Stegostoma tigrinum: one gene and its partner. The protein of the gene in region 1 purifies or fractionates together with the protein of each later gene. This does not show direct contact. Links are inferred from orthologs where the notes say so. Each region holds a gene or a part of one and is shown in the gene's direction. Other genes may lie near its edges.

Region 1 (7,288 bases):
CTTCTTCCCCCACCCAAAGAGTGATAATTCTGCCTAGAAAGGTGGGAGAGGAGAAATTCTCATTGCATTTAAAAAGTATTTGAATATTCACTTGAAGTACTGTACCTATCAGGCTACCAACCAAAATCTAGAAAATTAGTTGACCGCTTTCTTCTGGCTGCCAAACATGATGAGCTAACTGGCCTTCCTCTGTGTGGTAAATGTTTGAAATTCGTCCTCCTTAACTCAACATTGAAACACTCTTATGGAGCCCTTATTGGCCTAGCATACCAGGTTTTAAGATAGCCTGTCTAAAAAAGGCAATTGTATTATGGGAAGTAAGATCTACAAGAATGAAAAGCACTTGCACCTATATAAATGATTTCATAAATTGGAATTAAAGAGTTAAGGATACAGAAACTATGAGTACCAGACAATCGGAGAGTATTTCATCATTTACAGAAAACAAGTCAGGTATGTGATGTACGGAACAGGTGAGTCAATTGCTGCAAAATACACCACCTATGACTTGTGTTTGTAGCCAGTATTTGTGTTACTGGTCCAGGTTTATTATTTCTTTTGCACAGTTATCATTTCATTGCTTCTGTTTTGGTACTAGATTATAACATGATCAGCCCTCACTTGATCATATTCTTCTAACACCATCTTCTTCTGCATACCATTTTTAAAAATATCTTAATACATTTTAACATCTTTGCTTCTGCGCTGTCAGGATTGAGATGAGTAGAACATCTTGATCAAGTAGAAGGCGAGGGTGAATATTTTGAAATCTCTACCCAGGTGCTGTAGAGGCCCAATTTTGAGCAGCAACATACTGCAGATGTTAAAAATCTGAAACAACAAGAAAAGCTGCTGAAAATATTCAACAGCTCTGGCAACACATGCAGAGCAGAAACAATTAATATTTCAGGTCAGCTGAAAGGTCACAGATTAGACACATTAATTCTGATCCCCTCTATAGATGCTGCTAGATCTTTTCCAATATTTTCTGCTTTTATCCCGTATCCTAATGTTGATTGTAATCTAAACAGAGGAGGCGAAGGCAATAAAGCCAGCAGTCAGATAAGATGTGAACTGTTCTATGTGGCACACACTTATACCACAAGTTTTTGCACTGTATCAACAATAAAGACCAGCTACCCATACCTCCACCATGCATCAGCTTATCTGCTGTTAAAACTCATTTCATTCTCTTCTGAATTAACTGGTTCAGCACACTCTACACTGGCCTCCCTCCATAACTGTGGGCTCATTCAAAACTACTCCCTGCTTGTTGGGCAGCCAGTGCAGACACGATCGGCCAAAAGACCTCCATCTGTGCCATAAATATTCAACAATCACAACCTGCAGCAAGTCATACTCGCCCACTGCAGTCATGCACTTAAATTGGCTTCTAATCCAAGAATGCCCCAATTTTCAAATTCACACCATTATATTAAGTTCCCTCCAGGATCCTGTTCCTCGTGCTGTTTGACATTGGCTTTTTCTACAAACCCAATCCACGTGGCCCAGTATTATCGTCAATGCAAACAAAAATCAAGTGAACTACAGATGCTGAAAATCTGAAATAAAAATGAAAAACTTTGGGGAACTTCAGAAGGTCTGGCAGCATCTGTAGAGGATGAAAGAAGAGATAATGTTTTGGATCCACTGAAGCTTCTTTAGCATGCAAGAGTCACCAGACCTGAAAAATGTACTCTGCTTTCTTTCCGTAAAGCTGTCAGACCTGCTTAGTTTCTCCAGAAATTTCTGTTTTTGTTATTGTCAAATGTGCATTCAGTTGAGCAGATCTTAAACTATAGAATTCCTTTTCTGCTGACCAGTGTTTTAAAATCTACCACACAGACCAAGATTTTGATCACCTGTCTGGCACTGCCTTTGAATCAGCATTAAATGTGTCTGATGATGCTCCTTTGAAGCACCATGGGCTGTTCTACCAACAATAAGTGTTGTTAAAATATCAAAATGAAAACTGAAAGAACTGCAGATGCTGTAAATCAAAACAGTTCTGACGAAGGGTCACTCAACCCAAAACTTTAACTCCGATTTTTTTTTGCCACAGATGCTGCCAGACCTGCTGAGCTTTTCCAGCAATTTCTGCTTTTGTTGTTAAAAATGTCAATGGATGGTACTGCAATGAATCATTTTTTAAAGTTTCTCAGGTCCAACATGGCATCAACAAATGTAATCATCTCCGAAGCACTCTGGAAAAATATCCATTTGAGCATATAAGAAGCTAATTGTTTAAAGGGATCCCATTGCCTCCTTCCATTATGTTCATAATCACAGTCTTTCTGCACCTGGAGCCAAATGTCATCAATTCACTGTCTTTGAAATGGTGTACCACAACGCAACAAATATAGGAAGTAGTGAATGAGCACAATGGGAGAAAAAAAACTCAATAATTTATATGGTGCTTCATTCTTCCAATCTGGGTAAGGGGAAAATCAGCTGGATTTTTTGTGATTCAAATCTCATTGGGTTGATTTTAAAATCCTCCCAAGCAGGGTTGACTCACTATGCAATGCCAATTCTTTAAACACAGTTCTCCAACTAAATTAATTCCTTGCATATTTTCTTCATTTAAGTATGCATTGAATTCGTATTTAAGTTATTATTAGATCTGCTTCCACCATCTTTGCATTGAACGATGGATGGATCTTTATAAGTGTTGGCAGCGTGCAGTTACAGTTCTGCTATTTGTAGGAGAGCATTAAACACAAATTCGCAGCACAAAAGACTGTTATACAGCACGAATCAGTCATACCTAGAATAGTTTGAACAGTTTCGACCCCCTTACATGAGGAAAGATCCTTAAGTAAAATCTGCCTCGAAATGTTCCAGTCAAGGAATCAAGGTGACTATCACACGAGTCCACCCCCAATATCCTTCTCCTTCTATTGCATTAAATACACCTTATGAAGCAGCTCGGAGGATGCAAAGAGGAGAGAAATGTTTGCAGTGATTCGTGGTTTCAGAAAGCAGCATTACAATGCTGAGTAGAGTTGGTTTTTTTGGGATAGATAGTGGAGATGGTCAATACAAACGGCAGCGCTCTCTTCCCTGGAAACGGCGGGAAATACAAACCAGAACCGCCTCACTCATCAGCAACAGCCGCATCTCCATTCGCCACCGTAAAGTAGTGCCCTCAACTTTTAACCTCGTCAACCGCACCCCCTTTGAATTTAGGCGCCGAAGGCAACCCATACGCACACAAAAATAAAGACTTTCTCCGGACGCCGGTTGCTCCTTTCGTGCAGAAGCTTTTCCACTGAAAATGAGGTTTCTCTCCCGCCGATGCGATCGGTCTGATTGGCGGAGGAGACGCTCCGATGCCCCCTCCCCCCGGAATTTAGAGTAAAACTGGACCAAGTGTCCCAGGATGGAGGCAGGCCCTGGGCGGAGTCAAGTGGGAAAAGTACAGACATAACCCTCCCCCGAAAACGGTCTCAAGGACGGGAGGGAGGGGTCATCGGCTCCAATTCGAAATTCGGCCTTCAACAGAGGCTACAGCCGCTCAGCCAATCAGAGGACGCCTTGAATAGCATCAGGCAGCGGCCGTTGAAGAGCTATAGCATCTCTGCTTAACCAATCAAGAGTCTCTTTAGATAAGCAGTAGGATGGGAATGATAGGCCAGTGGAAGGTCGCGTAAAATAACACACGGCGGCCGTTCAAAGGATGTGATGCACTCAGCGCTATCCTCCAATCAGAAGTGGCATTCGATTGCTTTTACCGGCACTTGCGTCATGGACCAATAAGAGATTGTGTTAGATAGGATGACTGATGGCCGGTGTGTAAAGACATTACCAATCGGGGATTGTGTTCGATATCCAAGCACGATTGGCCAATGAGAAACCGCGTTAGATAGTGCTAGGCGGCCAGTGGGAAAGCGGAACAAGCGCGCGCGTGTACTGCGTCTGGCGACACCCACCAATCCGATTAGGCGTTGGCTCGCCTGGGCGGTCACGGGCCAATGGGAGCTCCTGTTAGACAGGCCGGGCAGCTGTTGAAGGCGTGGGTGAAGCAGTGATAATGGCGGGGTTCGGCCACTTGGCAATGGCTCGCGGCGATTGACGTACAGACGGACCAATCAGATGGAAGCGGCGGTACGTGCGCCGTGAATGATTCGGCCAATGGGGAGGCGCGTCACGGGGAGCGGCAGTTTGCGAAGGGAGCAGCGCGCGCGGCCGCTGCTATATCGCTCCGCCGCCGGTGGCACTCGGCTTTTGCGCAGCTGCGGAGCCGGGCGAAGGCGTGAGAGAAGCTTGCGCTCTGGTTATTAGCGAGTGAGAAAGAGAAAACAGTCACTAATATACAGCATATCTGTTGTTATCCATAATAAATTCCACGCTGCCACCCCTTGTTTATCTATCTATCGCTCTTTTTAATCTTCCCTCACCGCGGTGTATATGTACGTTATATTTTCTAAAAGGAAGCAGAATCTGAGTGACCCAGAACCATTTATGGCCGTTTCTGCCTGAGAAAAATCCTCGTTGTTTCCCACATGAGATTCGTTAACATGGAGCTTATCACAATTTTAGAGAAAACCGTCTCTCCAGGTAAGGCGTCTAATGGGAGAGGGAGTAATATTATTTTTCTCTTTCGTGGTATTTTAAAACTGTATTATTATTTTTTTTCCCGCCCGCCCTTTTCTTTCTTTTCTCTCCCTCCTCCCCAGATCGTAATGAGCTGGAAGCAGCGCAGAAGTTTCTGGAACAGGCGGCTGTTGAGAATTTGGTCAGTATTGGATTCTGTTTCCATTTTTTTTGAATGGGTAAAGGGGGCGATGGTTTGATCTAATTCGGCTTTTTAAAAAAAAATGTGCGTGGGCTGATGCGAGAGTATGGTTGGCTATTTGATTTTTAAGATGGAAAATTTTTTATCCATTTTAATGGAGGGAAATCAAGGGCATTCATTGAGAAAATTCCCCCTTTCTACTCTTCTTCTCCCCCACCCCCCCCCCAACCTTTTGGGCGGGGGAGGGGGAAACTGGAGTGAAAAAAAATGACAGCCTAACTTGCTGGCAGGAATTACCCCGGTTGATTGACAAGGCATGACAGCCAATGAGAGTCCGGAGATTGCCGGTGGGCATGCCCGCTAGCCAATGAGGACGCCCCGAAGAGGCTGGGTTTCCGCTCTGCGCAAGTTTGGTTGATGGGAAGGGAAGCTGGGAGTCGAGGCCTGAGCGCATGTTGCCGGCTCATCCTCTCCTCCCTATGTGTGAGAGAGAACAGCCTACCCCACGCATGGAGGGGCTGGGGAGGCCTGGATCCATTATGCTATCTGATAAATTTATGCCCTTTATACCCCTGCGTTTAAATCGTCGTAAGCATTATTTCTTTTTCAATAATAGCCTGAAGATTTGCACAATTTAGGTTTTGATATCATGTGTCTGGCTTTCTTCTGGGTTGCTATCGTGTAATCTTTTCATTTGGTTAACACCAGTTGAAAGTTTCTATTTAACCGGTGTTTGTGGAAGTTAATCAATTTGTAACGCATTAAGACGTGCTGGGACGCCGTTTAGCCCTCTAGGTTTGAACCAAATGAAAACAGCCTCGCTCATATCCCAGTTTCGGTCTACGTAGATCACTATTTAGGGTGTAAATCTGAGTTTTTTGATGCATTCAGGGTATCAGTTGCTTATAACGTAGTAGATGGTGTTTGAGGTCCTGCTTAGCTCCTTGATGGAAGAACAATTCTTGTCAACCTTTCTCTAATTCTTTTGACAGTTGCTTCAAATCTATCCTAATAGAACTACCTTCCTTTCTACTGTCAAAGTATTTCAATAGACTGTAATTTAAGTCTTCCCTCAACCTTTTAGAAACATGGATAATAAGAGCAAGTACAGGCCCTTTGAGCCTGCTTCACCATTCAGTATGATTGTGGCTGATTGTTCAGTTTGGTACCGTGTCTGCTTTCTGCATGCTTTTGATCCCTTTAGCTCTAAGAGCTATATCTAACTACTCGAACATTTAATATTTTGGCCTCAACTACTTTCTGTGGCAGAGTTCACTGCATTCTGGTTGAAGAAATGTAGAACCTAAAATATAGGTGTAGAATTCAGCCATTGGCTCATTGAGTCTGCTCTGCCATTTTATCATAGCTAATAGGCTTCTCAACATCATTCTTCTCTGTGTAACTCTGACCACCTTACTAATCAAGCATCTGTCTGTCTTAAGTATACTCAATGACTTGGCTTCCACAACCTTCTGTGGTAGTGTGTTCCATGAGATTAAACATCCTCTGGCTGAAATTTCTTATCTCTGTTCTGAGTGGGGAGTTCCATATCCTTGAGCTGTGACCATTGGTTCAAGACTCACGGTTATTAAGAACATCCTGCATTTATCTTGTCTAGTCACTGTTAAAATTTTATAGGTTAACTAGGGTTGCACCATTGTTAAATTTGATAGATGTATCTTAATATATTTTAAATCCAAATGCAAGTTATTTTAGCAGGTCACCACGTGCATTTTGAGCTTGTTTCTTTAGAGATTTTCTGTTGCATCCTATTTAAGGTTATTGGTGCTTTTTTGGTTACTGTGGATTTGCACATTTGACAATGATTTCTCATCTTTTGCTTTAAACAAGGTTACTTAATGTGTGTAAATCAGGTAATTTTGGAAACTTAAAATTGCTTTGAAGTCAGTAGAAATAGCAGTAAATTGCATTTTAATCTCTAATTATTTTAATTGCAAATTTCAAGCCATTTCTTTGGAAGTACATTTGACTTTGTATGTAGTGTTTTACCACTTATTAATTTGGCTAATTGTATGGCCTTAAATTGTAGATTGCAGAATTTCTGAAAACTGTCAGCTTTTGGAAAAATTAGCTATATTTTCATAGCCTTTTCCTGCACGTTTAGTAAAACCTAACAACTAAAAAAAATACAGGCTTGACTTAAGCTTAGGTATGATATGGAGGGGCTTCCTATCAGATCCTGGCTTTAGAGATTTACCTGCTGTCAGACACTGTATCCTGTATCAAATCAGATCTAAAACTGAGCTGGTTAATTCAATCAGCTGGACCATGTAATACAGCTTAAGGAATTTTGTAGCCACTGGAAACTGTTTAGGAATCAATAGCAAGAAGAAAGGTGAGTAAAAGTTTTGAAAAGTGCATGTGATATTAGAAGAAGATGGGACATAAAAACGAAATCCTGCTTGAATAAGTGCTAGAAAAAGACAAGTATTGTACACCACTTTGGAATAGTGGTAGACAACAAAGTAAATATGAGCTGATGCAATAGGACTGAATTTTTCCATCATTGTTAGGAATGGAACACTCATC
Region 2 (7,299 bases), on another chromosome or scaffold:
CACAGTCGCACTGGGGAGCCCAAGCATTATGTGATGCTCTCTTGCGGGTGTATGCCTGTAGGGGGATCTTCACTCTGGCAAAGCAAGCGGTCTCTCGATGTATAATTTGTCAGAAGATAAATAAGAAAGTGATGACAGCCATGCCAGGAGGGGGACAGCCATTGGCAATTCAACCGTTCCAAAGAATACAAGTGGATTTCACTGAGATCCCCAGCGTCCAGAGATGGAAGTACCTGTTGGTGATAGTTGATCACTTTACCAGGTGGGTGGAAGCCTTTCCCGCCGTCAGTGCCACGTCCCAAGTGGTGGCCAAGATTCACTTGGAACACGTGATTCCCAGGTATGGGATAATAAAGTCCCTAAACTCAGATTGTGGAACACATTTTGCTTCCAGGACACATGAACTGACTTGTGACACTTTAGGGACGAAATGTAAGTTACATGCACCATGGTACCCACAGAGCTCGGGAATGGTCGAACAAATGAACGCCACTCTAAAGACTCAGATAACAAAATTGATGGCAGAGACGAAGCTTCCCTGGACTAAATGTTTGCCGATAGCTCTGCTCAGGATACGCACCGCTCCACGCAGAGATATAGGGATGTCCCCTTACGAGATGTTGTTCGGGCTCCCATACGTGGGAAAGATAGAAGGGGTGCCCACTATTGAAGGTAATGATGTATTTCAAATGAACTATTTACTGGCAGTCTCTCGTTCCCTTACAGAGTTAAAGGCCAAAGGGCTGTTGGCGCAGAGTCCTCCTCTCGATTTTTCTATCCACTCGATCAGGGCGGGAGACTGGGTTCTGGTCAAGTCGTGGCAGGAAGAAAAACTCCAGCTGCAGTGAACTGGTCCATACCTGGTGCTGCTGACAACAGAGACAGCAGTCTGAACGAAAGAAAAAGGGTGGACGCATGCAGCACAGATAAAGGGACCAGTGGATCCGCCAGCTGAGGAAGAGTGGGAGGCACGGGAGGGGAACAACCCATTGACGTTAAAATTGAAGAAGAAGATAAAATGAAGGGTTTACACTGTACTGTTATTTTATTGTTAATTGTAGCCTGGGGAGAGGGAAAGAATCATTTTACCGCTTATGTCAAAACTATGCTAGACAAACGGGGCGCACCAACTGCTGGGTGTGTGCTGCAATCCCACATCATGGGGAGTCCAGAATTCCTCTGACCAAAGAAGAAATAGGCGAGGTGCTGCAGTTTGCCTCCACTTTAAATGATACGTGGGAATCGGTCAGGGGTGCATGGAATTCTAGTCACGGGAATTGGTAGCCACGTTGGGGAAGGTGGAACAGGAGCAAGGGGAATTATAGTTTCAAGGGATGGTTTCCTCAGCCGGCCCCAGGGACCCAAGGTGCAAATGACGGTCTCAGAGTTTCGCCACCTGGGGGACAGGTTAACTCAACGTGTTTCTGTAACTGGAATGATAGAGCCCCGTTCCAGTTGGGGAATTTGTCTTGTAAACTAAACATTCTAGCCTTAGACACCACCCTACCCCAAGTTTTGAATGGGACACGCTGGGTTTGCCATAAAAGGCGTATCCATATCTACCCGGGGACATGCACCAACACCAAGGGGAGGAGGGGTCCGGGTGAGGGAGATCCTTGCCCCATGATCAAAAGGGATGAAGTGGCTGTTGTTACCTAGCCCATTTGGTTCCACATATGAGACTCCTGGGGCGGCCCCTAAGCTAAACCAGAGACAAGGAGGAGGGAGACGTAACCTCCGAAAAGTAACTGAGGGGGATTGTCTCCTCTGGACCTTGTTACCCATGTATGGGACTGCCCGATCAGGGAGAGAGATGCAGAAGCTGGCAGCCTCTCTGGAGGAGTTGGCCAACGACACTTCTGATGCTTTAGCCGATACCCAATCCCGGGTGGAGGCCATAACCACTGAGCCGATTGCCACTAGGCTAACGGCTCTTCAAAATCAGATGGCTCTAGACATTGTTCCAGCCAAAAAGGGCGGTACCTGTGCACTAATTGGGGTAGAATGTTGTACATACATACCTGACACCTCCCCAAATATTACTGATATCTCCCAGCACGTGCGAGACCAGATCGCCAAAGTAAGGGAAGCCGGTAACAAGTACCGGAACGAAAAAGGATGGGAATGGGGAAATTGGGGATTGACCGGTGGCTGGTCAATTGGCCATTTATGGATTGCTGATACTAGTGGGTCTGGTGGTGGGGCTCAATGTCCTGAAATGTGTATTGAGCCGATTGATGACATCCCTTGAAGGGGTGACCCAGATTCACCGCCAAAGGCTTCTGCAATCGGAGGATAGTATGCAGCAGAGAGAGATTCAGAGGATGCTCCGGGCGTTCGAGGGACGGGATCCCAAGGTGCAGTTTAATCATGATGCATAGCAAAAAGAAAAAGGGTGGATTGTGAGAGATAAGGATGATTAAACTGCAGTGAAAAGAATTACTCAGCTTTGAACCAAAAGACATCTAGTACTGAGCCGTGATAAGAAAAGGAGGTGAGGGCCAAGTGGTTAGAAACCAGAATGAACTGGTCCAAAACTACTAGCAGACACCCAGAGGGTGAAAAGGTCAAGCTTTGCACAATAGACATAGTTGAAGTGCATGCCTAATGAGAGAATGCATATTAACTTTTATGCCCATGCTTGCGAAGCTGCTTAATTAACATAACATGCGATGTATGAAGGGGGTGGGACAAGGGAAGTAACGGGAAGATTGTGCACCTTGGAGCTCAGATTGGACGGAGCCAAAAGGGGAGGATCTGGCTGGAAAAATGATGTATAAAAAGAGGAGGCTCCCTGGCCTGTGTGTGTCTCAGGCAATGGGAGGCACCTGATTCTGCAGACTTGTAATAAAGCTTAGGTTACTTGTTTCTAAGACTTTGACTCCACTGACTCTGTGATTGTGAGCATGTGAATCTAAATCTCACAATAAATGAGGTCAGGGTAATAGATTGATAGGAAACAGTAACTATAACATTCAGTTTGAGAGTGAGAACTTGGGTCACAAACAACTGTGCCAAACTTAAATAAGGGTGATTACAAGGAATGACAGCAAAGCTAGCTGGAGTGGACTGTGTAAGAGGTATAAAAGCAAAACAATTAAGAAACATTTGCAGACATTTAAGAAAATAGCTCATGATTTGCAGGAAAGATATGTCCCAGTCAGACAGAACAATTCTAGGAAGGGGACAAGCCAAACATGGTTATAAAGGAAATTGAGGGTAGCATTGGACTCACCCCCTCCAACTGAGTAACACTGCAGGAAATTTAGTGAATTCATTGGCTGGTGACCACTACCATTGGGGAATGCTTCTTAAAAACCTGCAAATTAGAAAAGTGTACTAAGTGACTAACTGAATGTCAAAGACAGTGCAATAACGGAGAACAAGAAATAATAGGTAAGTCAGCCGAATTATGATCAGAGAAAGATGGTAAGGTTAACACGGGAGAAACTTTTAAGGTTAAATAAGACCAGGGCATCATAAGATATAGGATAATTAGGTCATTCAGTTTGCAAGAATCATTCGAGGAATGAGAAAAATCAGTTATAAGCTGAAGAAGTTGGGGTGTTATAATTGGAGAGAACAAGGTTAAGAGGAGATTTGAGATAATGGGAACTGCAGATGCTGGAGAATCCAAGATAATAAACTGTGGAGCTAAATGAACACAGCAGGACAAGCAACATCTCAGGAGCACAAAAGCTGACGTTTCAGGCCTAGACCAGCTCTGATGAAGGGTCTAGGCCCGAAACGTCAGCTTTTGTGCTCCTGAGATGCTGCTTGGCCTGTTGTGTTCATCCGGCTCCACATTTTATTATCTTAAGAGGAGATTTGATACTGTTTTTCAAAATCACGAGCGAGCTGCACAGACGTGACAGGTAGAAGCTGATCTCTTTTGTAAAATTAAAAAAAATTAACTTGATGGACGATAGACCACCCTGCAAGAGCTGAATGGATTCCTTCTGGTTATAGTTTCCTGACAGAGAGTGAAACAGAGTATAAAAAGTGACATAGACAGTTGGTACAGAGATAGTAGGACCTGCCGATGCTGGAGCATCCGAGATTACACGGTGTGAAGCTGGATGAACACAGCAGGACAAGCAACATCAGAGGAGCAGGAAAGTTTGACGTTTCAGATCAAGACCCTTCATCCGAGACAGTTGGTACTGGTTTTGCTGTGAACGGTGGGGGCGGAGAGCAGAAGCTGCCGTTTTCAATTTGCGCGCGCCTGCAGGAGCCAAGGCCCCGCGAGCCCCCGCGCGCTGCCGCCATCTTGGATCAGAGTTGTTTCTGGAAACAGCCGCGCGGCCCCGATAACAACAACAACCGTCAGGCAGGAGTGAGGACCGACAATGGGTAAGTGTGTGTGTGAGGGAAGGGGGTTCGGGGGCGAGGGAAGGGGGTTCGGGGGCGAGGGAAGGGTTGTGGTGGGTTGAGGGTGAGGGGACAGGAGGGGTGGGGGTTGCGGGAGGAGTCGAGGCAGAATTGGCAGGACGGGAGGGGCAGGGATGGGTTGAGGGGACAGGAGATGTAGGGGCAGGTCGGGAGGAGTGGGGGCAAGGGTGAGGGTGTGGGGGCGGGACACGGGGAGAGGGGAAGGGGGCGAGGTGGACGGGACGTGGGGAGGGGGGGGGGGGCGGAGCGGGGAGGGGGGGGGGGGCGGAGCGGGGAGGGGAGGGGGGGGCGGAGCGGGGAGGGGAGGGGGGGGCGGAGCGGGGAGGGGAGGGGGGGCGGAGCGGGGAGGGGAGGGGGGGGCGGAGCGGGGAGGGGAGGGGGGGGCGGAGCGGGGAGGGGAGGGGGGGGCGGAGCGGGGAGGGGAGGGGGGGGCGGGGCGGGGAGGGGGGGCGGGGCGGGGAGGGGGGGCGGGGCGGGGAGGGGGGGGCGGGGCGGGGAGGGGGGGGCGGGGCGGGGAGGGGAGGGGGGGGCGGGGCGGGGAGGGGGGGGCGGAGCGGGGAGGGGGGGGCGGAGCGGGGAGGGGGGGGCGGAGCGGGGAGGGGAGGGCGGAGCGGGGAGGGGAGGGGGGGGCGGAGCGGGGAGGGCGGGGCGGGGCGGGGAGGGGGGGGCGGGGCGGGGAGGGGGGGGGGGGGCGGGGCGGGGAGGGGAGGGGGGGGCGGGGAGGGGGGGGCGGGGCGGGGAGGGGGGGGCGGGGCGGGGAGGGGAGGGGGGGGGGGGGCGGGGAGGGGAGGGGGGGGGGGGCGGGGAGGGGAGGGGGGGGCGGAGCGGGGCGGGGAGGGGAGGGGGGGGCGGGGCGGGGAGGGGGGGGCGGAGCGGGGAGGGGAGGGGGGGGCGGAGCGGGGAGGGGGGGGCGGGGCGGGGAGGGGGGGGCGGGGCGGGGAGGGGAGGGGGGGGCGGGGCGGGGAGGGGGGGGCGGAGCGGGGAGGGGAGGGGGGGGCGGAGCGGGGCGGGGAGGGGAGGGGGGGGCGGAGCGGGGAGGGGAGGGGGGGGCGGAGCGGGGCGGGGAGGGGAGGGGGGGGCGGAGCGGGGCGGGGAGGGGAGGGGGGGGCGGAGCGGGGAGGGGAGGGGGGGGGCGGAGCGGGGCGGGGAGGGGAGGGGGGGGCGGAGCGGGGAGGGGAGGGGGGGCGGAGCGGGGAGGGGAGGGGGGGGCGGAGCGGGGAGGGGGGGGGGCGGGGAGGGGGGGGGGGGCGGGGAGGGGAGGGGGGGGGGCGGGGGAGGGGAGGGGGGGGAGGGGAGGGGGGGGCGGGGAGGGGGGGGGGGGGCGGGGAGGGGAGGGGGGGGGCGGGGGAGGGGAGGGGGGGGAGGGGAGGGGGGGGCGGGGCGGGGAGGGGGGGGCGGGGCGGGGAGGGGAGGGGGGGGCGGGGCGGGGAGGGGAGGGCGGGGCGGGGAGGGGAGGGGGGGCGGGGCGGGGAGGGGAGGGGGGGGCAGGGGGGGGCGGGGCGGGGAGGGGAGGGGGGGCGGAGCGGGGAGGGAGGGGGGGGCGGGGAGGGGAGGGGGGGAGGGGAGGGGGGGGCGGGGCGGGGAGGGGAGGGGGGGGCGGGGAGGGAGGGGGGGGGCGGGGAGGGAGGGGAGGGGAGGGAGGGGGGGGCGGAGCGGGAGGGGAGGGGAGGGAGGGGGGGGCGGGGAGGGAGGGGAGGGGAGGGAGGGGGGGGCGGAGCGGGAGGGGAGGGGAGGGAGGGGGGGGCGGAGCGGGAGGGGAGGGGAGGGAGGGGGCGGCGGAGCGGGAGGGGAGGGAGGAGCGGGAGGGGAGGGGAGGGAGGAGCGGGAGGGGCGGGGAGGGGGGGGCGGAGCGGGAGGGGGGGCGGAGCGGGAGGGGGGGGCGGAGCGGGAGGGGGGGCGGGAGGGGGGGCGGGGAGGGGGGGCGGAGCGGGAGGGGGGGCGGGGAGGGGGGGGCGGAGCGGGAGGGGGGGGGGCGGAGCGGGAGGGGGGGGCGGAGCGGGAGGGGAGGGAGCGGAGCGGGAGGGGGGGGGCGGAGCGGGAGGGGAGGGAGGGGGGGGCGGAGCGGGAGGGGGGGCGGGGAGGGGGGGGGCGGAGCGGGAGGGGGGGCGGAGCGGGAGGGGAGGGAGGGGGGGCGGAGCGGGGGGGAAGGGGGGGCGGGGCGGGGCGGGGTGGAAGGGGGGCGGGGCGGGGTGGAAGGGGGGGCGGGGTGGAAGGGGGGAAGGGGGGGCGGGGTGGAAGGGGGAAGGGGGGGCGGGGCGGGGGGGAAGGGGGGGCGGGCGGGGGGGAAGGGGGGGCGGGGAAGGGGGGGAGGGAGGGGCGGGGACGAGGGGGCGGGGACGGGGGGGCGGGGAGGGGAGGGGGGCGGGGAGGGGTGGGCGGGCGGGGCGGGGAGGAGAGGGTGGGGGCGGCGCGGGGACGGAGGGAGGGGCAGGGAGGAGGGGGCGGGGAGGGCTGGGAGGGAGGTGGGGCGGGGAGGGCTGGGAGGGAGGGCTGCGGGGGAGGGCTGGGAGGGAGGTGGGGCGGGGAGGGCGGGGAGGGCTCGGAGGGAGGGGGGGGAGGGAGGGGGTGGGGGGGAGGGGCCGGGGGTGGGACGGGAGGCGGTGCGGGCCGAGTGGGCAGGGCATGGGCCGACTGGGATGAGGGGACGGGGACGGTGGGGTGGGGTGAGGGGATGGGATTTGGGTGAAGGGTCGGGGCGGGGACGAGGCATGGGGTGAGGGAATGGGAGGTACAGGGGCTGGGTGAGTGGATTAGGGGGCAGGAGGTGCAGGGGTGGTGTGAAGGGACTGGAAGGGTGAGGGGATGGGAGGGTTGCTAGTGGGCTGAAGGGGACGGCTGGGGTGGCGTGAGGGGGAGGGGTGTGGGTGGCGTGATGGTACGGGATGGGGAGGGACAGTGTAAGAGGAC

What was found.
Region 2: the proteins of kpnb1 (region 1) and importin subunit alpha-7 purify together in Homo sapiens (affinity purification with mass spectrometry; 4 studies listed by BioGRID and IntAct, with this or other methods). This does not show direct contact. The link is inferred for Stegostoma tigrinum from reciprocal best matches to the Homo sapiens genes KPNB1 and KPNA6.

Annotation. Positions count from the first base shown.
Region 1 is NC_081384.1:5,015,150-5,022,437, reverse strand, and holds the start of kpnb1 (importin subunit beta-1), read left to right. Parts: upstream 1-4,206; 5' UTR 4,207-4,505; coding exon 4,506-4,560; intron 4,561-4,679; coding exon 4,680-4,738; intron 4,739-7,288.
Region 2 is NC_081377.1:47,829,176-47,836,474, reverse strand, and holds the start of importin subunit alpha-7, read left to right. Parts: upstream 1-4,247; 5' UTR 4,248-4,349; coding exon 4,350-4,353; intron 4,354-7,299. UniProt on the Homo sapiens protein: Functions in nuclear protein import as an adapter protein for nuclear receptor KPNB1. Binds specifically and directly to substrates containing either a simple or bipartite NLS motif.